Linked DNA regions of Lepisosteus oculatus. The protein of the gene in region 1 interacts with the protein of each later gene in a biochemical or structural test. Links are inferred from orthologs where the notes say so. Each region holds a gene or a part of one and is shown in the gene's direction. Other genes may lie near its edges.

Region 1 (7,207 bases):
CCAGCGTGCTCATAGAGCACACACGGTTAAGCACGACTACAGTATTTGGGACCAAGAAGAACCTCCATCACCTGTGTATCTGCATGTTCTCGGTACTTCCAGGTGGCGCTTTACCCAATCAGAGTGTCGATTCTCACTCTTCACCCAATCGCGGCCCGAGCTGTTCGGGGGTTTAGCCAATCACGGGTCTGAGAGCTGTTCAAGGAAGCAGCGCCAGGTGGATCGGCTTGTTTACTGTCAATGAGAATCTATTTTTAAAATGCTTTACTTATTTGCAAAGTAACTACATCGGCTTGGTTTTTAACGCCTTTATTGATTCACAATGTCCCGTGCTCTTCGAAATAAATACATTTGTATTTGCAATATAACTGTCTCCGCTGCTTTCTGTAATGAATACATCGTATTTGTACAATTTGATCGTGTATTTAAGGTAGGGGAAACACCTCCTGCTTTGTACTTAAAAATGAATAGAGATGTAAAGCCTATGATCATTATATTATTATGCTCGTGCTTCAAATTTTGTTTTTTATTGTTAAATTATATCGATCTTGAAACTAATACCTAAAAATGTGAATATGGGCTCTCGTGTTGTACCAGCGGTAATATGGAAACTGGGGTCTCTTCACCAATGCATGGAGTACACAAGCAATACATTTTCGAGAACATGGTTAAAAATTAAAAGAAAACACCTAACCCAATGAACTAACTCCTCCCTAAATGTAAGACAGTTTATTCGTGTAAAGGCTGCAAAGTCTGGGGTCAACTGATCAAAAGATCACAGCTGAAAGATCTAGTCGTGACTTTGCTGTTTTGTACGTCACGGAGTGACGTCACAGCCAGGAAAAGAAAGCGTGAAATGAGCCATACAGGAGATAGCTGTGTGAATCTGTGGGTTTGCAATAGACCAAAGCAGAGAGTCGGTGATGGGTAATGGATAGGTTTATGTCTAGAAATGGAAGAGTGATGGAAGATATGTTAACTGTATATTTGAGGGACTGGTGGAAGTTGGTGAAGTGATGCAGGAACTGCACTAGCTGGTCATTAGAGCATGAATTATTATTGTTGTTGCTGTTGTTGTTGTTAACAATGCATTTAATTTACATAACACACTACATTACAGCGAACTTCAATATGCTTCACATAAAAGACAAAACTAAAAAGAGAAGTCAATAAACATACCAATAACTAAGGTGGAAAAAGAAAAATGAGTCTGCAGTACTGAGGTTTTAAGGTCTCTTTTAAAAGTAAGTTGCTAGCAGTCAATTAAAACCAGAACCGCCCAGTATTTGTACAGCCTCTTTCCTAGGGCTGCCTTTTTGCTTAACCTGAATTCCTAGCTCTATGTGCACTGTTGCTGTTTATTAGCGCTTCTTGTCTGATATACAGTATGTAGAATAATAATAATAATAATAATAATAATAATAATAATAATAATAATAATAATAATTGCTTACACTTATATAGCGCAGGAAAATTCAGTATCTGGCACAGGATTCAAGCTAACTTCTAACCCCATCCTATTAAAGAGCAGAAACTGCTAAAACAGTTCAATAAACTTGATTAAGAAAGAGCTCAGAAAGAAGCAGACACAGGGATAGTTCTCTCTGTTCCAGGGCTGAAAACAATGTGCTCCTGTGTCACTCAGTCTGTGTCTTATATTGTACCTGTATTTTGTAGTCCTCTATTGTAATTTTACCTTTATTACATCACTATATTGTACTTCTGAAGGTATAGATGAAATTTTGAATCTTCTTTGTACAAATTGGAATTCTTTTTTGTAAATTGCTTTGGGTAAATACGACAGCTAAATTACTGTGATTATCAATAATGGATTTTACTACGTCAATGACATACACTCATGTAAGGAACCTTGATTCTTTTATTTAAATCCGAAAGGATGACAACAAATAAGCTGTATTTAAATGCCATCATATTCTAATACTTTTATGTTGTAATGCTGTATATTAGCGTCTAGACATTGTTTCATTTGACAACAGTACCTCTGCCTTGAATTTACACTGCGTTGCTTTATAGGAGTAAAGAGGAGACAATGACAAGTCGTTTGGCATGAACTTCTGGAACTTTCGTGATCTTTTCTTTAGTGATTCATAGGAGGTCCTGGTGGAAACGCGATACAAGAGAATAGCAATAGAATCATATGATTCGGATGAGTCATAGTCAGGTGACGTTACTCCTTCAGGAGGGGGAAGAGAGGGGGGGGCGAAGGGGGGTATTGCGACATACAATAATTCATAGCAACTTTCACTCTCTTTCGTCATTTTCAGGTAAAGGGGCAAATCAAGGCCTAGGCTCTCATGGTGATGCAGCATTTTATAGTATAGCTTTGTTAACCGATTTATAAGCTTATCAGCATCACATGCTTTTATGCTACCTGATGCAACCTCTTGTTTGTTTCTCTACACAGGACTTTATTATTCTCAATTTAAGGAAGATCCATAAGCAAATAAAAAAGAAAACTAAACCCAACTGCAGGTTGGAAATTATAAACCAGAACTGGCTTCCCGAAGCACAATTCATCAGGTTTTATGGGTCAATCTTAAATCCTCAAATTCTGAACCAGTAAGTTGGATTAAGTTAATTTTCACTACTGTAGCAGGTGAGGTGTTCAGCCGTTATCACCCATTATCAGGCAGATGCCTTTTTCTATAAGGGGCAGAATCTTTGTGTTGCCTATCCCAGGTGCAAGGTGAGACTGTACTGCACGAACCAGTTATCCTAGCCAACAGGCCCTTAGAAGGTAGAAATGGAGAACCTGAAGAACAACAACAGAAAAGGAGCATATATACTCCATAGAGGAGATGCCCCTGTCTGGAATCCAACCTAAGACCCAAAGCAGTAAGAAAAGTGGTCCTAACCACCATGCCACCACAATGTAATTTCATTTTTTGAAATAGAAAACACCAACATTTTGTAGCTCTCAAGGACCACAGTCAGTCATTTCTGACTCGGCATCACCAATTAATTTGCTGCTCATTCGCCGTAACTGTTGCTTGAAAAGCTGCACAGAACAGTTCCATGCGGTGAATGAGCTAATACAGAACCTGACTGACGCAACGTGTTAAACTGATCTGACCGTAAACGTGTTGCACGTCTTCAAAAACCTACGGGGTTAATTACTAGGGCCAGGGTTGTCCACCACCTGGTTACAAACTCAGGACCTGATGGCAGGTTTCTGTGCGGCTTCTTCTCTCTCGCCCTCCAGTACTTGAGTTTGAAACCCGCGGTGAGACAAAGTTGTCGATTCTGCCAGGCCTTGATAAGGCTCCTGCATAGTCTAGGCAAACAGCCGATACTCATAGAAGAGTACATACACACAGCCACGGCTGTTAAAAAGGCTGTTCAATATGTGTTGAACAAAAATGTTCCAAAACACAAGTTTGTGCCAATTTCCAGTGACTCATCTTCAACATGAGAGGGTGGCAGGTTCTGTACCTCGCCAACGCGCAGGAAAGACATTGAGGTGGATCTCTTACTTCATGCTGACTTGCAGATTGCCATCTTGCCTGATAAACAGAGGTTATTAGATAATGTGAAGACGGTCCCCCTAGTCTCTCTCATAGTGAAAATGACTGGTTATGATTTACTTTAAGTCACATTTCTTAAGATAACGAGGTACCTTCAAGTGAAGTTGAACAGGCTTTCTAAAACATTTATGTAGGTGGAAGGAAAATAGGTTTCGTCAGGGATGCCCGCTTTATACTGACTTCTGTACAAACCAGTGTTGTTTCTAATACTGAAATTGATACAATTCTAAAAAAGTATTTCCATTTATAAATTAAAAACATTACTGGCTCTGAATTTTGCTCCCTGAAATTAATATTTCCAGTCTTTTCTGTGTTCCCGCGAAAATCTTGAGTTTAGTTTTTAGAACCACTAGATGATACATAACTAATGTAATTGATAATTCACTCATGTCTTGCTTTTAACTCGTATTCTAACATGTATTTTCATGTATTGCATGTACCTCAGTAGTAGGATCATTTCTTTCTCGTATTACAGTTCCTTTTTTTTATACTGAATATTTTCTGTTTTACAGAAGCTGATATTTCCATTCTGTTTTCCCGCGCTGGGATGTCACTGTAAAAAAGTGCTTTGTCATTCTTCGACCTTCAACAACCCACTTTGAATAGGGCTCCATTCTGTTTACTTTGCTAAAGACTGGCTTGTTAGTAAACGCGAAGAAAAAAAGTGCGTTTTTTTACCAGACAGCTGGATTTCCCCCTATTCTCATAGCAACACCCTTTTAATTTTTTAGGATGCACAACCCCTGAAGAAATGCTGATTGGCTGGGGTACAGCATAAATACTAGCAAGGAGGCGGAACTACAACACAGCAGACTAGAAAGCTGCAGAAGTACAGTAGCTGGTTTATTCAAGTGCGCAATAAGGTTCACGGGTTCTCGTCGGAGCTGGTCAGGTGAAGATCGAAAAGAAGAGGTAACCATGTCGATGACAGTGAAAGCCTATCTCCTTGGGAAGGAGGATATCCACAAGGAGATCCGCAGGTTCGCCGTCGATCAAGAAGTGTCCAGCAGCTTTGAGTACTTAACTCGAAAAGTGGCCGAGGTTTTCCAAAGCCTCAGGAATGCCACTTTCCAGATGTACTATAAAGGTAAGAAACTTTGGGGGAAAAAAACGAGAACTTCAACCTGTTTGATGAGATGTCACGATTAAACTTGCTACTAAGTGCAGCTGTGAATTTGTATAGGTCAGCTGGGAGAAGCAAGCTACTTTGTTACATCACGAGGGCCTTTTGTTTATAATGTAGCCTGATGGCAAAGTGAGTTATGCAAATTGTACATTGTGGGTTGTGCTGTGCAGTCATTGTGACGCACTCACTTTTAGAACTCGCAGAAAATGGCAAGGATATTTATTACAAGATTGTCGGATGTTTCAGTTTGTTGCGTTGACCTTTATCAGTGTTTTATGGACTTATTGTTGGATTGTGTAACAAAATCGCGTTGCGCGTGACATTGGAAGCGGCTTTAACGTCGTTATTTTTAATACGTCAGGTGAAGAGAGAAGGGTTATTAATTACTGTAACCTGAATAATGTGGTACAGATATCTGTGATGGCAAGGGCTATCGCTTAATGAGCTACAGAGAAACAAAATTAACACTTAAAACGGATGTTAATCCTTGGCTACTAAACATTGAATATCGTTCTGTGACTTCATGACGCCGAGATATAGGTTCATTGTATTCTGCAGTCTACTGTACACGCAGTAAGATGGGACTGTCAGTCCTATCCAATTCCCACTGCTTATCAACGTTTTCCTTTGGTAGACTTCCGTGTATTGTCGGTTTATTGTTGTTTTTTTTCCTAATATCTGGAAGAATGGAATTGAGAACGTTCACAAAATGACTTCATCTAAATTCTATCGCTTCCCTCCCGTTAAAGTTTTACAAAACAAAGGTTTTCTGTTTGATATGTTAAGGAATACCCCTTAGCAGCAGTTGATACGAGCCGTATTAAATAACACTCCCATGGTTCGTCAAGACCAATGTCTGATGTGTCAGTTTGGTGATCATGTTCTTAACGCCCTGTTGCCCAATGAAAACAATGCATTATTTAATCCAAATGCGTTACTGAAACTCCTAAGTACAGCAGTAAGGCTCGTGGGAATGTTACCGAGACGTCGAAAACACCTCATTAGTAGAGACTGGAATACTTCAGTTGAGCTTGATTGCAGTTAAGGTAAAACTTTCCATAGCATCTCCTTTTTGTTCCCTGAGTAAATGACTAATTGTCTGTAAATTAAACCCTGCTAACTGACACTTTTTTTCCCCAACAGATGAGGATGGCGACTTGATTGCTTTCTCCTCTGATGATGAACTGATGATGGGACTTGCTTGTATAAAGGACGATACTTTTCGAGTCTTCATTAAAGGCAAGTTGTTTACCCTGGGTGAATCATTTACAGTTCTTAGGGGACCGACTAAATGTGTTTAAACAATGACTTCAAAGTTTGCTCTGTCACAAAACTAAGCCAGTTTTTTTTTTTTTAATATTGAGCAAAATCCATGAACACGAATACTTTTACCACTTGGAGGTAATGTGAAATTTAACGATTGGGGAAGTAGGCAATGTTTATTGAATTAATTTAAAGGTGGTGGCTCCACTCCTAGCTTTTAACTGTTAAATAGACATGTATCCTGTGCCACACTTTTTCTGTGAAACATGCTGCAGTATCCATTTTTAGGGACAGATAATCAGAAATCTCCTGTGCTCATGACCGTGGGTTTTTTTCCCCCCTTCACCCCACAGAGAAGAAGGAGTGCAAGCGGGACTTTCACCCCCATGGATTCCAGGGTCCTGATCGCCCCTTCCCTTTCCCCTTCTCCTTCCAATCCCCTCCCCCTCCCCCCTCCCATAACGCCGTGCACCCCAACGTGACCTGCGACGGCTGCGAGGGCCCAGTGGCTGGGACGCGCTTCAAGTGCACCGTCTGCCCCGACTACGACCTGTGCTCATCCTGCCAGGCCAAGGGGCAGCACAAGGAGCACCCCATGCTTCCCATCTGGGCTCCCCTGCAAAACATGTTTGAAGTAAGACGCCTGGCTGAGCCATGATCGGAACCGAACACTTCTTGGAAACCTTGTTTGTTCTAGATCAACATTATGACGGCTGTTCCTTTACAAAAACATTATCCCTGTTTTTAGACAATGACTATTCAGTCCAGATGACTAGCACAGCTGCATATCCTCTTCTGGGTTTCAAATAGTTCCATTACTTGTTTTAGCAAAATTCAAGGTTTAATTAAGTTTTGTGCTATGATATAACTGCTTTATATGCATTATATGTGCATGTTTCCCCCTTGGTGTGACAGAAGTTGTTTTTTACAGTTCTAAACTATGCCGAACCTTCCTGAAATGTCACTTTTCTACTCTGGTTCTAACTGGATCTGCCTGTATGGCTAAACTGCAAAATTGTCTGAACTGCTTTTTCTTCATAACCTCATATTGCTGTTTTGTATTTGTGAACTGTTTGGAGGGTTTCGTAAAACCTCAATATAATTTGTGTAAAAAAAGAAAATGTACACTCTTAGGCCTGGTTCGGTAGTTTAATCTTTTTTTTTTCCCCCTAGTGGTACCCGCGCGGGAAGTGGATGCGCAAGATGAGACATGGCTTCCCCCACTGCATGTGGGCTGGAGCCCAGAACAGGCCCCAAGCCAGCCAGGCTGGGC
Region 2 (7,097 bases), on another chromosome or scaffold:
TTGAGTCAGTTTGGAATTGATATAACAAAATCTATAGATTTAAATGCATTTCTAGAGTAATGCAAGTCGACAAACATGTTTCATTGCAAAGTGTTATCTCCAGTATCGTCAAGAAGAGGATGATTGTTTGCTATCGTATAAATGGATATACCTATTTTCTGATTTCTCTCGCCGGCGATTTCTGCAACAAATCTCCATCATATTTCTCCAGCAAATAAATATGAAAATGAAAGGACTATTTATATCGCTATTTTCGGATATCAAAAGTCTTTTACTCAACCCCAGGACACACCTTTTATGATGTACCTTACCGATTACCCCTCAAATGTATAAATGTTTTGTACAGCAATGTGTCCATGCACAAACGAGCACATGACATACAACAGGCCTTTTTTACGTACACTTTAAACTATTTCACCAGCACATTTCACCTTTGTACAAATGTAACCACATAGTTTTCCCCCTTTTGCTTCCCTTTTAGTTTTCGTCCTAGGGTTATGTGACAACTTCTGAAATAAGAACATTTCGTCTTCATAAATGGCAATCATTTTACTTCCACAATCGTTTCTAAAACCCTACGAATGTTTCAAAATGATCATTGGTATCTGTTGGATACCATTAAGATTAGGCAATTTAACTCTTAGAATAAGGTGCTGCAGCTGAGACAGTAAACAACATCAGAGCTGGTCAAGAGAATTACACGGCACTGACTACAGCTCCCAGAGTTCTTTGCAGATGTAACCCGAGCTCTAATCGGATCAATCCTGTCAAGATCTATTAGAATCGGATTGGGTATTTATGTCTATATTTGCCTAAAACTGTGACTCTCCTTTAGTTCTACGGGATAGCTGTTTTTCGTCTACAAGACTAAAAATCTCATGCCGTGATAAGTAGAAAAATCTGAATGTTAGGTAGTGGTGGCAAGTCATTAGCTCCAGCCTTGTGACTGCTCGTAGTAGTTTCCCTAAGTAATTTAAAACGTTTCGGTACGTTGCATTTAGATATTTTTTTCCTTTTTTGTTTGTGGTGCAGCATGTCATACTCCGGGGTTGTAAAACTGAGGACTGCGGAAGCCAAACCGAAATTACCGACGGTTTGTTGCGCTTCCAAAAGAAACAGAGCCACTGGCTGTACCGGAGGTAACCATAGCAACGCCCGTGACCCCAGCGGAGGTGCTAGTTATGAGACCCCAAATGGGAGAAAAACAAAACCGAACGCAGTAACATCAAAGCCTAAAGCTATAACGTGCAGTGGGAACGATCAGCGTGCTCAGAAAAAACACGACAAGTCTCCAAGTGCCACACAAAGGTAAATAATTGTTTATCCTACTCTTCTTTTAACCCCCAAGTCGCGTCGTTAGTTTGTAAAAGAGGTCCTTCTCCGTAATAAAAACAAACAGGTATTCCTAACAGAGATCTGAACTGTGTGTACCGATCAGTTTAATGTGTCGTTTAAAAATAGTATCATTGATATAGTTCTGAGCATAATTATCCAATTGATCCCTATGTGTTTCAATGCTAGTAGGTGTGACAGAAAATATTCCCCTCTAGATTCTGCTTACCACCAAAGATCTAATTCTAAGAGATGATTTTTGTTTGGTTTGTTGCAGTTACGGGGCATTTACAATGATCCCTCCCAATCCAAAGAAGAGGGATGAACTACAGAAAAGTACATTTTATTTCTTTTTCTTGGAGCAACATGCAGAAAAAAACAAGAACACTGTCAGTTATTTGATAAATAGGAGACAAACATCCACACATTCAACATAAAAAGAAAAAAATATTTGTTAATATCTTATTCTTATTCTTTTTTTTTAAAAAAAATGTCTAAACATCTGATACTGGGGATCCTGAACAGACTAAATGACTTAGACATTTTTCTCACCATTTCTTTATGATGGCTGACAAAGGAGCTGAAGTTGAACTGGCAGCGCTGGAAAATTTCAAACTTAATAAGAAAGTGCGCCATGTGTCCTTTGTCCCAAGTGCTGTAGGTGAGTACTCTCTGAATCCGGTCACAAGCAGCTGAAATGTATGTCTTCATTGTATTTAATATTATTATTATTATTATTAATAATAATAATAATAATAATAATAATAATAATAATAATAATCTCCCTTCTGGACCAATTTCCAAACCTGGAGTGACCAGAGGAGCTTTTCTGTTGGAGGTGATGTCCTTTGTATGAGAAGCTAAATCAGGGTCCAGATTTGTTGGTCATTTAAGATTCCATTTCTCTTTTCAAAGGGGTAGAGTGTTAATCCCAGTGACTGGATTGTGCAATCTGAGTTTCCTGAAGATGCCCCTTTTAATTCAGCTTCAGAGGAGGATTAAGTAGGCCCCTTCTCTGTGTAAATCAGTCACACGTGCTATATAAGGCAATTTGGGTGAGACAGTGTTAACATATTCAGTACATCTCATATTAGTAATAACAATAGCTATATAATCTGCAGTGTTGCAATTGACCACTACAGGGCGTAGTAGAGCACATTATTCTCAGAACCCGACCGAGGTCTTGTCTTAAACTAAAGAGTTTCTTGTAAAAGAAAATAAGATCCTCTAGTAACATCATATTTGTTATTTTTACTGTATTTAGCTTGGATGAAAATAGGGTTTCCTTCTTCCATGTTTAAGGGTCCTCAGTGGTCCTAAAGAAAGTTTTATGGCACAGTAGTCGTGCTTTGTTTTGCTTTGATTCTAATTGTTCTAATGAAGAAATATAATTATTTCCATATTGTGTAAATATTTTGCAGGGGGAACTTTAACATTGGAAGAAGTAAGAAGAAAACAGGAGGAGCAGATGAAAACATGCAAAAAGCTTCACCATCTGAGACCTGAGACTAGAAATTAGAAAATACATCGTGCACTGTTTTGGCATAATCTTTGATTCGGTATCATTGCAAATTAGGGGGATCACCCAGAAACGATCGGTTTTTCACTGTTATATTGAGGCATAGGAGAAAACGTATTAGTTACCACGAGTAAATGTAGTGATGAATGAAAATCAAGAAGAAACATGTTTTATTAATATATAACCATTGCTAACCTGGGGATTATCTTGAATACACCGTATATTGATGTTTGTATTATCACATACATTACATATTTTAACACATATAAACATTCATCATCTTTAAAATTGGTTCACGGTGTACATGTTTTCCATTTTTTTCTTCCGTAATTCCAGTTTGCTGAACTTTATCGGTTAATAAAAAATATTATCACTACTTTTAACATATTACTGTACCTACTGTATGTTTGAAGTTACTCGTGTTTTTAAGAATTTTGTGAAACGGCAGCTCTGGTGCTGTAGCCACCACATGCGAAAACCATTTAGTTGAACACGTTATTGTCATTTAATGCTAATTAAATAATCTTTTTTTGTCCCGCAATGGATAATAAACCGTGGATTGTGGTTAAACAAGTTGTACCGGATGGGATATATTTCTGAAAATCAGATATACGAAATAAAAATGCTGCTGAAACTGAAGCTTAAACGAAAATGGGGAGTATTTAAAAATCACAGTGGTTATTTTCTCTGGTTTGTAGTTATGACATTTACCGAACGTTTCTGCAAACAGATCGGGATGTTATTGACAAGAGAATGGCGGTGCCATCCATAATACACGAGCAACAAATAGCCATATATATTAATGAGGACCCCGACAGAAAGCGGTTGCGGTGAAAATGTTCGACCTCATATGATCCATAAAAATGTGATCCCTGAAATAACAAATGAGCTTCCTTATGTAAAAAACTACATTTCCCATGAGCGACGGCTGGTATTTGTCTCTGCGACATGGCAAGGAAATGTTTTGGTTCTGGGTCTTTCATCCTTGAAAATGATCAAGCAATAAAACTGTCTGTTGTGTAATTTGTTGCAGCACGAAAAAATAAGTTAGTTAAACCATTCTAATGCAGTATAAAATAAACCGATTTTTATATAGCCGCGGAGTGTTCAGTTTTTATTTCTTTTGTTATTGTTTGATCAACTAAGCTCCACCTACGTTTGGCATGGTATAATCGGAATGCCGGCTAGCACGTCCATTTTTCTTAGTAGGGGTGAACCGTAAAAAGCGTAACTATATATTTGCATTCTGTGTACTCCTGAAATAGGAGATGCCTGAACTATGAAATATTTTCGTTTGTAGTTGATCATTTTTGTGTTCATTTTATCCCTTCATTCGCGTGAAGGGTGTCCCCCCTCCCCCCCCCCCTACATGCCGAGGTTGGCACGGTCGGTTGCGAGGCCTCTGCAGTAGGGAGTGTTTTTAGAGGAAGACCACGAAAGTTGATACTCGTTAACGGGGAAATGTTTTAAGTTTGATGTCATTTTACTACAACTTTGCACGCGAAGACCGAGGAGAGGCATTGAAATCGATTTCGAGACGTGGTTTGTTCAGTGAAAGCGGGGGTCCAGGTACCGGAGCTTATGATGCCTACGTTGCGGGACAGTACTATGTCCCACCCAGGAGAGAATCCTAACCAAGTGCGGGTGAAAGCCTATTATAAGGGGTGAGTGGAAATCAGTATATTGGCTGGATCGGTCCGGATTAGGGTGGCTGTTTTGAAATTTGTACTGAAAAGAAACGAGGAGTGTTTTACTTGAGGAATGGTTTTAGCCACACGGTGTGCGACCTAGCAGGTGAAATCTTCTTGGATCGGATAACTACCATTCTTGTTTGTAACCTATGTTTGGAGGTGACGGACGTCACCGGAGACCTAACTTGATAGGGAGGGCATTCATGTTTTAAAGATATGGCAGATCAGAAACCTTTTTTTAGTTTTCTCCCACAGACCAAACTTGGTAGAGTTCTGGTTTAAGGAATGCGATCCCAGGGCTACGATCGTGAACTCTTTTCAGAGCTTTATTGTTTAAATTCGTTGGGTATGGTATCCTTCATTCGCCATTAATAATATTAAAGTCAAGTCGCAACAAGCCTCGTTTTTACACCTACGATGTTCTTAACTATGCTGTGTGATTAACCGATGAGTACACATCGAGGAATGGTCACAATGGTACCGATGCGCTGTTCTTTTCATTCAGAATTTGAAGCCGTTTCGTGTAAGGAAAACAATTGAAATCAGGGCATTTTCAGGACACGATTTTTCATCTTAGCCACTGGCTTTGGACGGGACTCGTGTTTTAAGGCTAACAGAATGCCACCTACTCAATAATGCGTAATGTAGGTGTTGGTGTCGCATGTTGATGACCACTGACGGAGCTGCCGTAGAGTGAAGCTGCGCGGAGCCCGAGACCCGCACGGACAGGTTGTGCGGCTGCGGTAGTAGCAGTAACCTTTTACGCCTTGGCACACCTTGTTTCTCTTGCAGCTTAAAAAAAAAAACATCTTAAGTATCAAGGGAGATCTTTGCACACTAGCTCGGTGAACTGTGTCTCAAGTGAGAGCCGGGGATGTCTAGCGCCGTAGTAAAGACGTGTGGATGGAGTTGTCTGTTTTTGCTTTTTGTTTAGTGAGATTTGTGCGGAGAGGTGGCAGCCCTGGCACAGTGGAGTCCTGTAGCAATTCCTGTTTGTAAACTGAGGTTATTCTAATGAAGGCAGTAAGAGAAAGGATTAATTGCATTTGTATATATTGCTTTTCACCCCAGAGGTGCCCAGAGCACTTTATATATAGCAGAGAATACACTTCCATCATTGAAGTGCAATGACGTCTGATTATTTTCAAGCGATTAGGACCGAAAAATAGAGTTTTCGAGCATGTAGTTATAGAATGTGAAGAATTTTGTTGATGTCATACCGTATGAAGAGGTTTGTTCCGTTTCAGGTGTCATCCTCCTGAGCCACAGGTATTCTGTTACTCTCACAGAAAACACAGTCTGAATAATTGCTCTTTGCCATTTTTGATTTTTTGTTTAGATTTCTGTCTTTGACTCATCTAATGAGATACTGTAACCTGTTAAGATCTATCTGTGCTTCTAAACGGTTTGCTAATTTGAGGTTTGCGTAAGTCAGTTGAGTTGTAAGATGGAAAGCTTTATGTGGAAGTTGTACTTTACCTTACATTTTGGAAGGCGCTAACAATGGTGTGCTGAATCATGAAAAACCTGTCAGATGAGTTTCTTCTGACCTTTCGCAATCCCAATCACTGTCACTGCATGTGTGCTGTTGTACATTTCTGACATTTCAGAAGTGTTTCTTTTCAAATAAAGAATGCAGAGTATTTCTGAAATATTTACAGGACCATATCTGCTTATGAAATGCTAACAGTAAAAAAAGAAGCCCCTTTGTATACATGTCTGCATGAATTTCTGAATTCATAAAAATTGCCAAAAAATGTCTTGTTCTTGTGCATAAACAGAACATTTTGAAATAAACTGATGCTTGGTGAAAGCACACTGTAGGACAGCTCTGTATTCACCTGAGGTCATGAACGTCTGCCTCGGGCCTTTGGGTTTTATCTCAGTCGCTGACCTTGATATTGTCCAGATAGGGAGTGGAGAAAAAGCACATGCCTGCCAAGATAAACAGCACAGAACAAACCGCACTGAAGTGAAGCTTCCAATTGTGCATTTCTGAAAGGAGTAGACTCGCAGTAGCTGACTGACACTTGATTCAAGTATTCTTTTTAATAAAACATCGTATTGTACTGTAGGTGTTGCGTAGTCATATACTGACTTATTATCGTCCTACTCCCCACCTCGCAGTTCTCGTTTGTCTGACCCCACTCTGCTGTCTGTCCTCATACTGGTCTGCGTACAGGGGGTAACAGGGCTTTCTCTTGCAATGGCCCAAAGCTAATTTTTACTTGTCTTAATTCTGTTATCTTCTCCCCTTTTTTTCTTACTGTTAAGCACTTTGAGAAGATGCATTTATAGGAGCTATACCAAATAAAAAATGTTATTATTTTTATTTGATTATTATTGGATAATATCGCACAACATTAATGCATAGCCATGATTTACGGTTATTCACAAACATGTAAACCGCGTTTACGAAAAGGATTTTATTGCCTCTGACATTCCGATCTTTCAGACCTCAGCGGTGGCACTGTTTTGACCCCATGACTGCTGCAGCTTAAATGAAGTTGATTTCTTTTAAAAAACGTATTTAGTTGGGTTATAGAATAACTCTC
Region 3 (6,980 bases), on another chromosome or scaffold:
CCAAACGCCAGAGAACCAATAAACCATTAATGGTCATTTTAACTATAAACCATACATCTTTTAATTGTCATCTGTACTCATGATATAGTCATTAGCCCAAACTGTATAACCCAACATACATAACAACAACACCAGTCTCTGAAGCCCACTGGCACCAACCAACTTCAGGGCACAGGACACAACTAAAAAAAATTAATGAAAGTCAAACACAGAACAAGACAAATAACACTACCCTACCCACTGGGACACACACAAACACAACACATACTGGAATGCTGCACTACCCTAAACAGACAAGACACACTAGCTGAGTACATGACTACAGTAAGTAAATTAAATGCAGGTAATAACACTGTGGGATATTAACTCTTTTCTCGAGAACTAACTCACACCGGTTTGTGCACTCCTTACTCTGCACAACCTCCTCGCTTCTCTAGACCCAGCTATTAACCGTACTCTACTGCCCTCTAGTGGCACCAACAGTAAATCCAATCTTCTTCTTACCTTCCCCTTTAAGTCTGTTTTTTTTTTAAGTTGGCAAACATTTGGTTAGTTCAGGTGGGTAGCTGCGTCAGCATGCGTAGGCTGCAAAGGAACAAGTAATAGGTTTATTCCATGCTGAAAAAAAGAAGAAAGAGAACACAACGTTTCGGCCGTGGAGCCTTCTTCAGGTGTGAGCCTTCTTCACACCTGAAGAAGGCTCCACGGCCGAAACGTTGTGTTCTCTTTCTTCTTTTTTTCAGCATGGAATAAACCTATTACTTGTAAACATTTGGTTATACTCCTTTACACAACTACAGCTCAACTGAACTTTTAAACTTCCCAGAAAACAATGATTATATGTTTTTACAGTTCACAATCTTCAAAACTAACTTTGAAGTTTGTTAATTCTCCATGAGCGATGCAGCTTGTTGTCCACTCCTGAATTGTGGGGTTTCTCTGGGCAGGTTTTCTCCACTTGCTGTCCAGCTTCTATCACCTCCCTGTTTTCTTCCAGTGTTGCACCTGCATGGTGGTTTATGCTGCTATGGGCTCGTGAGAGAAAACACATTTCAGCTGTGAAGCCTTCTTTGAAGGCTTTTGTCTTTGAAGAAGGCTTCACAGCCGAAATGTTGTGTTTTCTCTCTTCTCTTTCCAGCATGGAATAAACCTATTACTTGTTCCTTTGCAGACTACGCATGCTGACGCAGCTACAGTACCCACCTGAACTGATGAAATTAGTTTAGAACTGCCTTCCACCCTCGTGGTGGGATAATTATTTGCGCCCCTCACAGAAAGCATCCGTCCTCACACCCAACTGAATTTGTCTAAATCTGTACAGTACAAAGCCACATTTTTGGGGTTGTTGTTTTCAAACTTTAAATACACAGTCTCTAAATAGGATAGGGTCTGTACCTGTCCTTGATCTGACTTGGCTGTCTTCCACCAGGCCAGTGTCTGCACTCTCAAAGAGCAACACTGGGCTCTGTGACGTCTCTGGAAGTGGAAGAAGACTAAAAGCATCAGCATTCCCCTCCTCCCCCCTGCCTTGTACACTGTGGAATATTCATAGACTTGTAGTGTCTCTGTCCATCTTTGGACTGGGTGACATTACTTGTGGCACACCTTTCACCTTGTTAAAATGTGATAGGAGAGGTTTGTGATCTGTTTAGATAGCAAACTTCCATCCATACAAATATTTATTAAAACCATGTATGCCGAACACCACGGCTAAACCCTTTTTGTCTCGTGAGAATAATTATTTTCAGAGAATGTCAAAATATGGGGCATACATCCAGTCTGCTTCATCCAGCAAGTTATGTGACAGTACAGTCCCCATTCCATGTGGAGATGCGTCACAAGAAAGTACACCTTTGCCACAAAAATAGTTTAGCACTTCACAGTACTCTTTGTTTTTAAGACTTATTTTAGTCCCTTAATAAATCTGTTACAGATTGTGAATCATGTAAGCAGGTTGTTTATGCATAGGTGATGCCCAGGTTGTGATGCTGTGCCAGACAGCATAGCCAGCTGTCCAAAGAGCTCAGGCTCAGTCACCACAGCCTGGACCTAGACACTGGACACAAGCAGACCTGGCTGTCCAGACAGGACAGACTCGGTGACCACAAAGACCACAAACTGGGTGACACAGAGAGACCATACTGCCAAGAGAGAATAAAAATGTGATTCTTATTGCATTGTGAGAAATACTTTGGGATTAGATAAACATTCTCTCTAAAATAACAAATCTAATCCCACAATTTCCACACCTGCTAGAATTAGAATGGCTCGTAAAGAGTAGGGGTGTAACCCCGGTGTCCTGGCCAAATTTCCCATTGGCCCTTACCAATCATGGCCTCCTAATAATCCCCATCTATGATTTGGCTACATTACTCTGCTCTCCTGCCCACTGATATCTGATGTGTGGTGAGCGTTCTGGCGCACTATGGCTGCCGTCACATCATCCAGGTAGATGCTGCACATTGGTGGTGGTGGAGGGGAGTCCCCATTACCTGTAAAGCGCTTTGAGTGGAGTGTCCAGAAAAGCGCTATATAAGTGTAAGCAATTAATATTATTATTATTATTATTATTATTATTATTATTATTATTATTATTATTATTACCTACAGGCTAAGGAGGGAGGAACTTAGCTGAGGTGCAGCCTAATACAGTATGTGATCTCCTGTCAGCCAGAGGAACACTGAGTGAGCCTGTCTCACAATAAGGTTTTATGTTTATATGTTTATGTAAATGTCCAATAATAAGTCTGTGAAGCAATTGTCCATAAATGTTATGTGTATTGCATCTGCATTGGCAGCACTGTAATTCATAGATCATTCCAATAAAGACTGAATTTGAAGGTGATTTTTTAAAAAACATTTTATTTGAACAACAAAAAAGATACAATATAAACAAGAGAACATTTAACATATCAATTACATCGTCAGGGGTACATATTACAATACAAATACACTTCATGAAAAAAGTTTAAACAGAGTAAATAAAGATAAATATTCTTGTTTTTACATTGTGAAATAGTCTGCAAATACGCCTTTACATCTATTTTGACTACATCAAGCACAGGACTCTTCCCAGACCATTTCACTTTATGTATATAGTAACGTGCAAGTATAATATTTAACTCAATTATGAAATATATTTCCATATTATTTTCAATGGGATTAAAGTTTAACATTACTTCTGTTTCTTTAAAAGTTATATCAACATTAGCCTGTTTTTGTGCAAATCAGTCCAGAAAGCTTTTGCAATAGGACCTAACCAAAATATATGTTGTATGGTTCCAGAGCTACTTTCACAAAAGACACAGTTATCATCTATAGTAATTTTTAATCTCTGCACAACATAACATCACTTTATTAGCCCTATACAATTTCTTGCATTAGGAAATCACCTTTTCACATACGCCAGCTTGCTCTCGGGGGCCCAATGGAGTTGGATTCCTCTGCCAGCCGCGGGATTTGAACCGACAACCGTCCAGCCACAGGTGCCGATCCGTAGCCACAGAACCACTGCTCCGCTCCAAAATGAATTACGATGCATTGGCCGGGAATCGAACCCGGGCCTCCCGCGTGGCAGGCGAGAATTCTACCACTGAACCACCAATGCGCTACGATACGATATGAACTTGACATCATGTTGTTTTCCCAAACAATCAATCAGTTTCCAGATAAAGGTATTCCAAAATACTTTAACTGACAGGATATTGTCAGCTTGCAATAGAAATCTTACAAATTTGTTATTACATCCATAACTTCCTTGTGGGATAATAATAACAATAATAATAATAATAATAATATAAGCTGTACAATCTTTCATAGTTTCTGATGAGATACTATTGCAATTCCTTGATTTGAAAGTGATTTCAGTTTGGAACTGAACGCTACAACTGAAAAAAAAAATGTTTGCAGCGCGTCTGCGTGAAATGAGCATGCGCGTTTCTCCAGGAGCGCTACAATGTGCGCAGGCGCAGTATCACTCCTCCAGCTCAGATTCCCGGGTTGGTTGATTTACATAGGGTGAAAAAAGCATTTATTTTTTACGTTGTGAATTAGGAAACGGGTTTGTTTTCTTTAGAATGTTATAATCTAACAGAATTATTTTTGTTGTGTTAATGTACTTTATGTGTGCGTTTTAAACATTTCTGACCTCCGCGGTCGTTGCCGCAGGCGCGGGCAGTGTAGGTTCCCATCTGAAGCGCCACAAGGTAAACATTTCGAAATCTTTGATCATTTTACCGCACTTCTCGGGGTCTCATGATGACTTTTCTGTATCAGAAGACAGGCCCCAATGTTCTTCCGGATCTCTTGGTTTCTCGGCATTGTCTCCTAAAGGTTATTAATATATAAAAATGTAGTTTTCCGGTGTTTGTGTCCCTGAATCACTTTCTTGTTAGTCCACCTATAGACAGAAAATAAAGGTCTGTGTATGAAAGGGCATATATTAATAAAATATTTACGCGTAGGGATATTAATTTCACTTATAAAACCATCGGACGTATCAGCGGACAACGGAATAAATAATTTGGGTTTAAATTGTTTCGGTAGTATTTTGTAATTTTTTAGATTTGTTAATGCAAGATCTGCAGCTTATTGCTTTCTAGGTTATATTGGGCTAAACGTAGTTTCGCGGGAAATGTTTACCTTATTTTTACCTTTTTTCTTCAGATCTACAGTCAGCTTTATTAGAGTTTATGAGACCGTATAACCGTATATAGTGTCTTTTTGTATATGGTCTCCGTACTTGTGCTCTGCTGTAGAAAGTTTTCAGAAACTTTTTCCTTTTAACCTTTTTCCTTACTGTGTTTTTCAGAGACCAAACAGGTGACACGGTTTTTAAATAGATTCCTGGTTTTACGGAGTTGTATCCGTCATTTGGTCAGGGACTTGGGATTGGGAGCTAAAATCCCAATAAAAAATAAAAAATGATACAGCAGAGGAGATATCACAATCTGTAGAAGAAAATAAGGATTTCTGTTACATGCTTTAAAGACAGGGATAGCTTTAAGTGACACTAAGAGATTCCTCTTGCAGCAGTCTCTGGACCTCACTCTTTTCCCCTTCCTCCAGTGGGATTCGGGAGAGGGGGGTGGGACAGGTAGAGATGCCCGAGGTGCCGAAGGAAGAGGAGCAGCTGTCCCACGCGGACTGTATCTGCTCCGTTTGCCTGGAGATCTTCCTGGAGCCGGTCACCCTACCCTGCGGCCACACCTTCTGCAAGACGTGTTTCCAGCAGACGGTTTACAAGGCCAGCATGTGCTGCCCGCTGTGCCGCAAGAGGGTGTCCACGTGGTGCCGTCTGCACAGCCGCAACAAGACGCTGGTGAACGCGGAGCTGTGGAGGAAAGTGCAGGCCGCCTTCCCCCTGCAGTGCCAGCGCAAGCTCAGCGGGCAGGACGCCGACGACAGCTGCAGTGAGTCTCGCCCCTTTGCCGCTCTTGCCCAGTCACCTGGGGACCTGGGGTGTTCTGGAGGAAAGAAGAGGGTTTAATAATAATAATAATAATAATTGCTTTCACTTATATAGCGCTTTTCTGGACACTCCACTCAAAGCGCTTTACAGGTAATGGGGACTCCCCTCCACCACCACCAATGTGCAGCATCCACCTGGATGATGCAAAGGCAGCCATAGTGCGCCAGAACGCTGCCCACACACCAGCAATCAGTGGGGAGGAGAGCAGAGTAATGAAGTCAATTCATAGAGGGGGATTATTAGGAGGCCATGATTGGTAAGGGCCAATGGGAAATTTGGCCAGGACGCCGGGGTTACACATCCGAAGGACGGTTTATCGCTGTCTTCAGTGATACAGGGTTGATGCCAAATAAAAATACCGTTGAATTGTTTAAGACCTTAAATTTGTACCCTGAAAAGAAGATTGAAGTTCACGATCCAGACCTCAGCTGTAACGAAAACCAGATCTGTGGTACAGGATCAGTGCTGGGTACCACCACTGTGTATAAACAGGGTTCCGAATGCAATGAAAATACCCTGTGTCCTTTTGGTACTACACTTCATAGCAGATCATCATATAATATTGAAATCTTTCATTTTGGTCTGGTATTGGTAAGGTACTGTTTTTTATGCCTTTGACAGCTCTGGTTCCCCTACGAACAATCAGCAAACCTGGTGAACTGCGGGAGGAATATGAGGCCCAGTTAAGTAAGGTAAATGCTCATCATTTACTGTTCTAAACAGAACCCTAGAAAATAATATAAAGATCTAAGCTTGCACACTAGATCTGCCGGTTAGATCTGAAAAGAAATGCAGTTGACACAAAACTGTTGAGTTGGTCATAGCAGACGGCGAAACATCGGAGGTGTGACGTTTTTGCTGAAATGGGACTTGATTGTATTGTGAATTACAAATTAACAAGTGGCGCATTTCCAACAGTGCATTCTTTAAATCCTTTGAGGAACCTCCTGAAACGTATTTTTATGCAGAAACCGTGTGGCAGACTAGTGCCGGAAATGACCCCATGTTCAGCATTTTTACATCCAAAATAAAAAGGGATTTGGTCAGCTTTTATGCATGCTTTGTACCAGTTTCCCTCTCTGATAATAGACTTGATTGTGTCACTGAGTGGATCTGTCTGTACTTCTGCCCATGGCCGTGTCCTCTCCTGCTCCCTTGCCTCCTCGCCTGCCCGCGCAGCTGGCGGAGGAGAAGAGGGCCCTGGAAGAGGCCGAGAGGCAGGCAAGCGAGGAGTACATCCGCAGGCTGCTGGCCGAGGAGGAGGAGCGGCAGGCAGAGGAGAGGAGGAGGGAGGAAGAGCAGCAGCTGGAGCACGACGAGATGCTGGCGCGCCTGCTGAGCCAGGAGCTGGTGAGTCCCAGGGAGCAGGGTGGGGACACAGTGAAAGTTTCCGGTTATCACATGTAGAATATCGATCAATCACTAATTTATTCTTCACGAGCACGGAAATCGCTTATAAAATAATCCGGGGCCAGGTATTTGTAGTTTTTTTCACGTATGGAAAATCTTT
Region 4 (7,901 bases), on another chromosome or scaffold:
TGTGACTTTTTGCAGTTCTACCTTATCTTGCAATAGGTGGGTCTACATATATTGAAAATGTATATATCGCATTGTATGATTTATCCACTTGAGGTGGTGCAGGAAGCAGAGCTAACCTATGACTTGCCAGAATAAGAAAAGGGGTTCCTTGACCCACATAGCTATCAGAAGGAAGCTTTCATGGGTGTCAAAAACGTGGCTAGAGAAAGTCAGAGGTCAGGTTAGAGAAACTGATAAAATACCAGATATACAATGCCTTGCAAAAGTATTCACCCCCCTTGGACTTTTTCACATTTTATTGTGTTACAGCATGGAAACCTGATGTGTTTAACTGAGATTTTTTACCACTGATCAACACAGTACTCTATAATGTCAAAGAGAAAAAAAATCCAGACATTTTACTAAACTAAAAATAAAAAACAGAAAATAACTGAAAGCATAAGTATTCTCCCCCTTGCTTTGAAGCAGCTAAATTACCCATTAAGTAACCAACTCTCTTCTCCAAGTCACATAATTACTTGACTGGAGTCCACCTGTGTGCATTTGAGGTGTTTCACATGATTGCAGAATAAATACACCTGTGTCTGGCAGCTTCCTTTGAAATGCACTATGGGGGGGAAACACTACATCATGAAGACCAAGGAATGTTCCAAGCAGATCTGAGACGAGGTTCTTGAAAATGACCATTTAGGATATAAGGATATAAGAAAATTTTCAAGGCACTGAATATACCTTGAAGCACAGGGAAGTCCATCATTACAAAGGTGAGAAAATATGGAACAACTGTGAATCTGCCCAGAACTGTCCGCCCTCCAAAACTGAGTGTCCGGGCAAGAAGAGCCATAGTAAGGGAGGCCACCAAGAAGCCTACGGCAACTCTAAAGGAGTTACAGTCCTCCATGACAGAAATGGGAGAAACTATGTATTAGACAACAATAGCACGCACGCTTCATATATCTCGGTTGTACGGAAGGGTTGCAAGAAGAAAGCCTTTGTTGGGAAAAAAAACTCATATTACATCTCGGCTGGAGTTTGCCCAATGGCATGTGAGAGACTCAACAATTTGGAGGAAGATTCTATGGTCTGATGAAACCAAAATTTAACTTTGTCTGGTGCGAACCTAACACAGCATATCACACTGAGAATACCACCATTTGGGGATGCTTCTCTGCGGCAGGGACCGGAAAACTCATAAAGATAGAAGGAAAAATGGATGGAGCTAAGTACAGAACCATCCTGGAAGAAAAGATGCTGTAATCTGCAAGAGCACTGGGACTTGGAAGACGATTCATCTTCCAAAAGGACAATGATCCAAAACATACAGCAAAAGCCACACTGGAGTGCCTTAAAACTAAAAAGGTTAATGTCCTGGAGTGGCAAAGTCAACGCCCAGAACTCAATCCAATTGAGAATCTATGGAATGACTTAAAAATTGGTAATCAAAAATGGTCACCTTCCAACTTGATGGAGCTTCAGCAGTTTTGCCAAGGAGAATGGGTAAGAATTCCAGTGTCAAGATGTGCAATGCTGATAGAGACTTACCGAAAGAAACTCACAGCTGTAATTGCTGCCAAAGGTGGTCCTACCAAGTATTAACTCTGGGATTGGGGAGGAATACTTATGCATTAAATTATTTTCTGTTTTTTATTTTTCATTAATGTAGTAAAATGTCTAGATTTTTTTTTCACCTTGACATTACGAAAAAGAAATTCCTAATCCAAGAAATTGTATAAGGCTAATAAAGAGATCTTATCTTATAGAGTACCTTGTGTTGATGACTGGCGAAAATTTTGTTAAGTACATCATGGTTAAAATAAAATGTGAAAAGGTAACCCCAAGGGGGGGTTAAACAACTTTCGCAAGGCACTGTAGGCCTCATACCTTTACGTACCTTAAGAAAGACAGGTTTAACAGGAATTTAGAAAGGTATATAAACCGCAGAAAATGTCTATTACGTCACTATTGTACTGCGGTTGATCCAAAATGTTGTAGCATTTTCAGGTTTGGAGTTAGTTTGCTGTGTAGTAATCACTACTAGTGATGCTTTGGGAGGCACGAGTCAGTTAAGGTGTTCTGCATCAGCTGCAATAATAAAACTGAAAGTAAGATTACTAGGTAAAATTTCTGAACTTCAAACTATTCACGTTTTTTAGTGGACCTGGTGATTACATACCTTTATATTATTGGTTAGAACTCAACTGTTGTACCCTTGAGCAAGTTACTTTATTCAAATTTCTCCAGTTAATGCCCTGCTCTATAAATAAGCTACTATATTACAAAATTGTGAAATAAAATTTATTCACTTGACTTATCTGGGAAAACAATAAAAAAGAAACCTACAGTATGTGTCCCCTCTTTAAGTAAAATACTAAACTAAAGGGATTTAATCTCGCACCTCTGTGAAATGAAGCATTTTAAATGTTCTTCTCAGAAACATGTTTACAAAAGGTGAAATGATACCACAGTAAACCTAGCTTTAGCCTGTCAGATATCTATCTGGAGTTAGAACTTTTGCAGTGTACAGTATGTGCAATGCAAACTTAAAAAATAGTATTTATATTTACCCAAAAACTGTGACCCAAGTTTCATCTAAATGGTCATCTGAAGAAAGTGCATCCCCCTGGGTATAGAAAGGATCAACTTGGGCTGGAGAGATGGCTGCCCTTCTCTGTTGGCCGAGAGGACTAAATACACTTGATGCTGTTAAAATTCAAACAAGTAGCTGTTTTAGTTCTGTTAGAACCGTGCGTTGCACTTTTCCTTTTCAGATATTACAAGACATATTAGTTGCCGATGGCAAGATAAAAATAGCTATACGTTTTTTGCCTTTACCACCAAATGAAATCTCAAAATGTCTCAAGAGGATGAAATTAAAATTCAACCCACGGTTTAAGCGGACTAGCGATTAGGTCAATTTATTTTGTACCCCCATCATATCATATTTGCAACATAATTTTAATAAACCAAAAGAGCTAGAGGCACAGATTTTTTGTTTAGATTAAAAAAAAAACACTCAGCCCATTAAGCCTTAAAATCAAAAGCACTGTTCCCCAATTTAAAGCACTGCATATGAGATGTTCATGTTATTAACTGATGTTAAAAAAAGATGTCTTGCAAAAGTACTTCAACCATATAATTCACCTGTTCCTGGGGAGGCAGCAGCCAAGGCAGATAATGGGGTCTGTAGCACTGAAAAAGAGGGCTGTGGACAGGAATGGCGATATTTTATTACAGGAAGATGATCAGATAATGTGATAAGAAAATAAATCAACAGTTCTAACTGCTTACTTGCTTCTGCAAACTCAGTGATGATGCCCCAATCCCTGGACATGTTAACTCATCATATATACTTCTAACTGGGGGTGCCCCACTCTTGTCCTTGGGTGTGGGGACAACTGGCTGAGGAGGTGAACCACCTGAGGGGAAAAAAAATTGAGAGAGGCATCTTGCACATGTGCAACACTGAGTTTTACTCTGTGACTATATTTAAATCTCTATTCCTCATCGTGCCGTAACCTTATCTTGTGGTCATTTCTTCTAGTATACCACAGTGTCTTCACATCTTGACTAGCACAGCCAAATACTTACACGGTAGTGAGAAAGGTTGCTCTTACTCCTTCAGAAATGGACATTTCCCCAAAATAAATGGTCTCCATAAATCCATTCTAAATTTTACAGCCCTTTCTCGGCACTTTAAATGTGATTTTACATGCACGTACCTCGATATGTTTTTTGGAACGGAGAACCCCCCCTAAACAATTGGTCAGTGGATTATTTGTTGCGTCCGTCACAGCCAGCAGACCTTCTGCACGAAGCAGACTGGTATAAATTCACACCTGTTACGCCATGTCCCGTAAAATCGTGGATTATGAAGATGAATACATAAACAGCTCACCCGTCATAAGAGGAGACCTCATTTCCATCCCACTGCCGACAGAGCTGCTGAAGGTGCGAGGCTGGGGAGTCACCGGCGCTGGCAGGTCGCCCATCAGAAACCCGGGCAGGAACTGTGCGCCCGAACTGGGCTTTGGGGAGGTTGGCGACCCCAGGGTCATTGGTTCTGTACCTGACAAAGTTAAGATAAATCCGTATATTTGCTTTTATCCGACTCACCTAGAGCTGCCCAAAACACCGTTTCATGGAGACTCTTCCTTGGAATAAAACAAGCCAATACCTCTAAACTTTTTTTGGAGTAGCTTTGAAGGCAATTTATTAACACAGTATAATAGTTCATATATATATATATTGATGACAATAAACAAACATACAAATCTCGAATTAGTATTAGCAAAAATTCATATTGATTATAAAATGTATTAATACCCCTCACGCTATATCCCCTATGTTCAAAAAAAGCGATAAGTCTAGTGTTACTGCAGTTATAACTGTCAACTGGGACACGCCATAAATAGAACAATGTCTCAAAAACTATAAAAATAAAATCAGAATTAGATATTTTATCAATATTGCAGTCTTAACATGACTATTAATTAATTTAGGCCTGAATGAGATTAAGGGAATAACATGGAGCGGTAGATTTTAAAATATATGCATTCCTAACCTCCAAAAGTACAACACTAGAAAAAGACTGTACCCACCTTGAAATTCCATTACAGGCTACCCACAAAACAGTATATAAGGACAGCTGAAAAAGTAAAGCAAGCTGATTTTTCCAATCAAAATGTGCCTAATTTTAGGTTGAAATAGATTCAAATTTTCAAATAATGGCGGAAATCGTGCGCTTTCCAGCAATACCGAGGCATTCTGGGGGTGACGTCATATAAAAGCTGCGGGCAGACTCCTGTTTCATGTGAAGTCGGAAAGGAGTGGGATTTAAAGGGCACGTGTAAAAATTACAACATTATAGTGATTTCACATTTTTATGTATTTTTCGTTTGCATTAAACACATAAAAGATTCCGCTTAGATGCATTACCCTACTATGTATTTAACTTGAACTAACTGAACAAGTATGTATTTAACTTTAACTAATTATTCTAAGCAGAAAATTAAGTCATATTTACGAAAAGAAAATTCCTTATTCCAGAATCGCTGTATAATACATAACCTAAAACTAGCAGAACCACGATTAAAAAGACGCGTTCCTTTCTCTGGTTTTTGAGGTAGTTTCCCATTGGTTAGTGTAACAGGGTCTGTGGTTAACGTGGCACTCACACAACGTTTTAACGTCATCACGGTGGTACACTAAAGTTTCTCTTAGTGTCTGCAAATATACCGGTACCGAAATAACAGGATCTTTACCCGGATAGGCGAGGAGAAGTAATGTTTGCCTTATTATAATTGCCATGTGCTTTCCTTTGTAAGCTGCAGTCTGTATAAGCTTAGATGTTTATGTTATCAGAAAAAAACATTCATTGAAATTTTGGAAACGCTTTAGACTGACATTGGTGCGACGAAACAGGAGTCGGTAAGTTGTCTGTCTACCCATCCTTATATCTAAAGTGATGCACTTTTGTTAGCATATTATCACATAAGGTTAAAAGTGATGCAGATTTAAGAATAGGTATAAGTACTGTATAACCCCAGATTCAGAGCAAGTTTTAATTAAAACGAATAATAAATTTTGTACATGATCTAGCTAATCCTAATAATAACAGCATCAAGATTTTAATAGTTGCATATTTTAATGCTATCTGTTACTAGAAGATAAACACGTTTAATTGAACTGCTTTCATTCCTTGTTCATGTGAATTATAAACAACTGCAACTAGAAATTCCAGTTTGTGAACACAAAACAATTGATTTCTTTCATGTATGTAATTACCTGCTATACACATATTACTGTACATTTAAACCTGAGTTCAGGAGCAATCCTGGTATGATTTTTAGCTAGAATGTATGCCTCCCCATGGGTAAACCATTACAGTTTCCTGGATCTTACAAAGATAACCATCATACCTCATTATCTTCACCCAAGGTTACTTTTCGTTCATAAACCTTGTTACTGTAATAGATGGATTGAAAAAAAATGAACATTCCTGCTTTCATCACACACTGTAGATTATTTTCTGTATAGAAACATTGTGGTGCAGTTACGATGTGTCTTTTTCTAAGTGGAAAAGTGAAGTTTGTTTATTTGTACTTCAGTTTACTTTAGTACTTTGCAGTCTACAAAGACCATTAGTTCCTCATTGACCTCCTCTTCTGCAATAATTTATTCTTCATCAAATCTAAATTGAGGGCATTCATTTTTGGGTACAAATTGTGATTTAATTATTTCATTTAGAATTAACTCACTATGTGTTGTAAAAGGTATGAAATGCTGCCTATTTGGAAAATGTCCGGCACCTCCTGGCTATAAATCATACAATTCTCCCTAAAAATTGAGTTTTTTGTTTAGATTGTTTTCACACCATGGACTGCATCCAAAAACATTAACTTTTAAAATGCTATGCAGTACTGCCAAAATTGATCTAAAGTATAGATAAATGTCCTTTGACAGGATTTAATATCAAAAGGTGTGATGTAGCTCTGGATTTATAGAATCACTATAATGTACAATCATTGTTTGCATAATGTTTTCTCATTTTTTTCCAACATAGATATCTTTAAAACTGTTTGAAGCAAGCAGTTACTGGCACATAGCTGAGGATGAAGATATCGAATTCAGCTTGAGAGCAACTGTGTCTTGAAGGTTGATTGAGTCAGCGGGGAGCAGAACACAATGGAATCAGCACTACTTGCAGAACAAACCTGTTGTGTTTACAGAAGACAGTCAAGCAGAACATTTTTGTACTTTTTTGTTATAATATGTTTGGCTGCTGTTATTTCCTGCAATGATGATTATTATGAGCTACTTGGAGTGTCCAGAGAAGCAAGTAATAGAGAAATTCGACAGGCCTTTAAGAAGCTTGCACTAACAATGCATCCTGATAAAAACCCTGTAAGTAAATATCTCAAAGCATATACAAATTGTACATTGCATGAAATCATAGATATGAAATGTTATTTGTAACAAGGTGTCAAAACTTTGACTGTCCATGTTTTATTTAGAATGATCAGGATGCTCATGACAAGTTCCTGAAGATAAACAGAGCCTATGAAGTTTTGAAAGATGAAGATTTGCGGAAGAAATATGATAAATATGGAGAGAAAGGACTACAAGATAATCAGGAGGGTGGAAGATATGAAAGCTGGAACTATTACCGATATGACTTTGGTATGTCGGCCTAACAACGTCTCACTTTATGTGTGCTGTGTGTTGCTCGCCATCTACTGTATGCTGCGTACAGAAAAGTAAGGCTAATCCAGGATAAAATTGCCCAAGGTATTTATTTCCATAGAACTGAAATATTTTCCCCAGAGGAAAGTGATTTACCTTATTTAATTCAGGATTGAGTGCTTTCTGTGCACTGGGTTTAAATTTTGGTAGATCAGATCTCCTACTCATACGTAAATTTTAAGTGTAGAATCTTAAACAATTGGAAGGCTGAGCTAAAAGTATGTATCCATCTTACATGTGTTTGATAATTTCAAGGTAGAGATTTCTGAAAAGCCTAATTGAAAGTGGAGAATTAAAATATTAATTAATAATGATGTGTCATTTTAGTTTAGAGCTGACTATTGGAATGTTTTTTGATATATTGTTTTCACTTTTACAGGTATATATGATGATGATCTTGAGATCATCACATTGGACAGAGGGGACTTTGGTAAGCATTTTTTATCAGATACTATCAAATAATATAATAGTAAATCTGGCTGTCTGCCTAACATTTGCTGTTAACAGGATGATTTACAGGGGTATTTATTTTGTTATTCATTAGATGCGGCTGTGAACTCTGGAGAGCTGTGGTTTGTGAATTTCTACTTTCCACGCTGCTCACATTGTCATGACTTGGCACCAACGGTGAGAAAACTATTCTTGCACTACGTTTTGTT

The links.
Region 2: the proteins of sqstm1 (region 1) and prkci form a complex in vitro, tested with the Homo sapiens proteins (4 studies listed by BioGRID, with this or other methods). The link is inferred for Lepisosteus oculatus from reciprocal best matches to the Homo sapiens genes SQSTM1 and PRKCI.
Region 3: the proteins of sqstm1 (region 1) and rnf168 form a complex in vitro, tested with the Homo sapiens proteins (2 studies listed by BioGRID). The link is inferred for Lepisosteus oculatus from reciprocal best matches to the Homo sapiens genes SQSTM1 and RNF168.
Region 4: the proteins of sqstm1 (region 1) and dnajc10 interact in a test that uses a peptide from one of them, tested with the Homo sapiens proteins (2 studies listed by BioGRID). The link is inferred for Lepisosteus oculatus from reciprocal best matches to the Homo sapiens genes SQSTM1 and DNAJC10.

What each region holds. Positions count from the first base shown.
Region 1 is NC_090706.1:33,993,601-34,000,807, forward strand, and holds the start of sqstm1 (sequestosome-1), read left to right. Parts: upstream 1-4,187; 5' UTR 4,188-4,463; coding exon 4,464-4,632; intron 4,633-5,814; coding exon 5,815-5,910; intron 5,911-6,287; coding exon 6,288-6,568; intron 6,569-7,107; coding exon 7,108-7,207. UniProt on the Homo sapiens protein: Molecular adapter required for selective macroautophagy (aggrephagy) by acting as a bridge between polyubiquitinated proteins and autophagosomes.
Region 2 is NC_090708.1:13,870,952-13,878,048, reverse strand, and holds the start of prkci (protein kinase C iota type), read left to right. Parts: upstream 1-4,094; 5' UTR 4,095-4,432; coding exon 4,433-4,515; intron 4,516-7,097.
Region 3 is NC_090708.1:21,393,894-21,400,873, reverse strand, and holds the start of rnf168 (E3 ubiquitin-protein ligase rnf168), read left to right. Parts: upstream 1-3,970; 5' UTR 3,971-4,332; intron 4,333-4,810; exon of another isoform or gene 4,811-5,067; 5' UTR 5,068-5,101; coding exon 5,102-5,411; intron 5,412-6,091; coding exon 6,092-6,162; intron 6,163-6,649; coding exon 6,650-6,820; intron 6,821-6,980. UniProt on the Homo sapiens protein: E3 ubiquitin-protein ligase required for accumulation of repair proteins to sites of DNA damage. Acts with UBE2N/UBC13 to amplify the RNF8-dependent histone ubiquitination.
Region 4 is NC_090707.1:18,365,654-18,373,554, forward strand, and holds the start of dnajc10 (dnaJ homolog subfamily C member 10), read left to right. Parts: upstream 1-4,878; 5' UTR 4,879-5,427; intron 5,428-6,562; 5' UTR 6,563-6,684; coding exon 6,685-6,903; intron 6,904-7,013; coding exon 7,014-7,179; intron 7,180-7,621; coding exon 7,622-7,672; intron 7,673-7,786; coding exon 7,787-7,869; intron 7,870-7,901. Other genes in the region: nucleoporin NUP35, read right to left, coding at 2,565-2,700, 3,142-3,202, 3,289-3,416, 3,896-4,066, 4,599-4,611. UniProt on the Homo sapiens protein: Endoplasmic reticulum disulfide reductase involved both in the correct folding of proteins and degradation of misfolded proteins.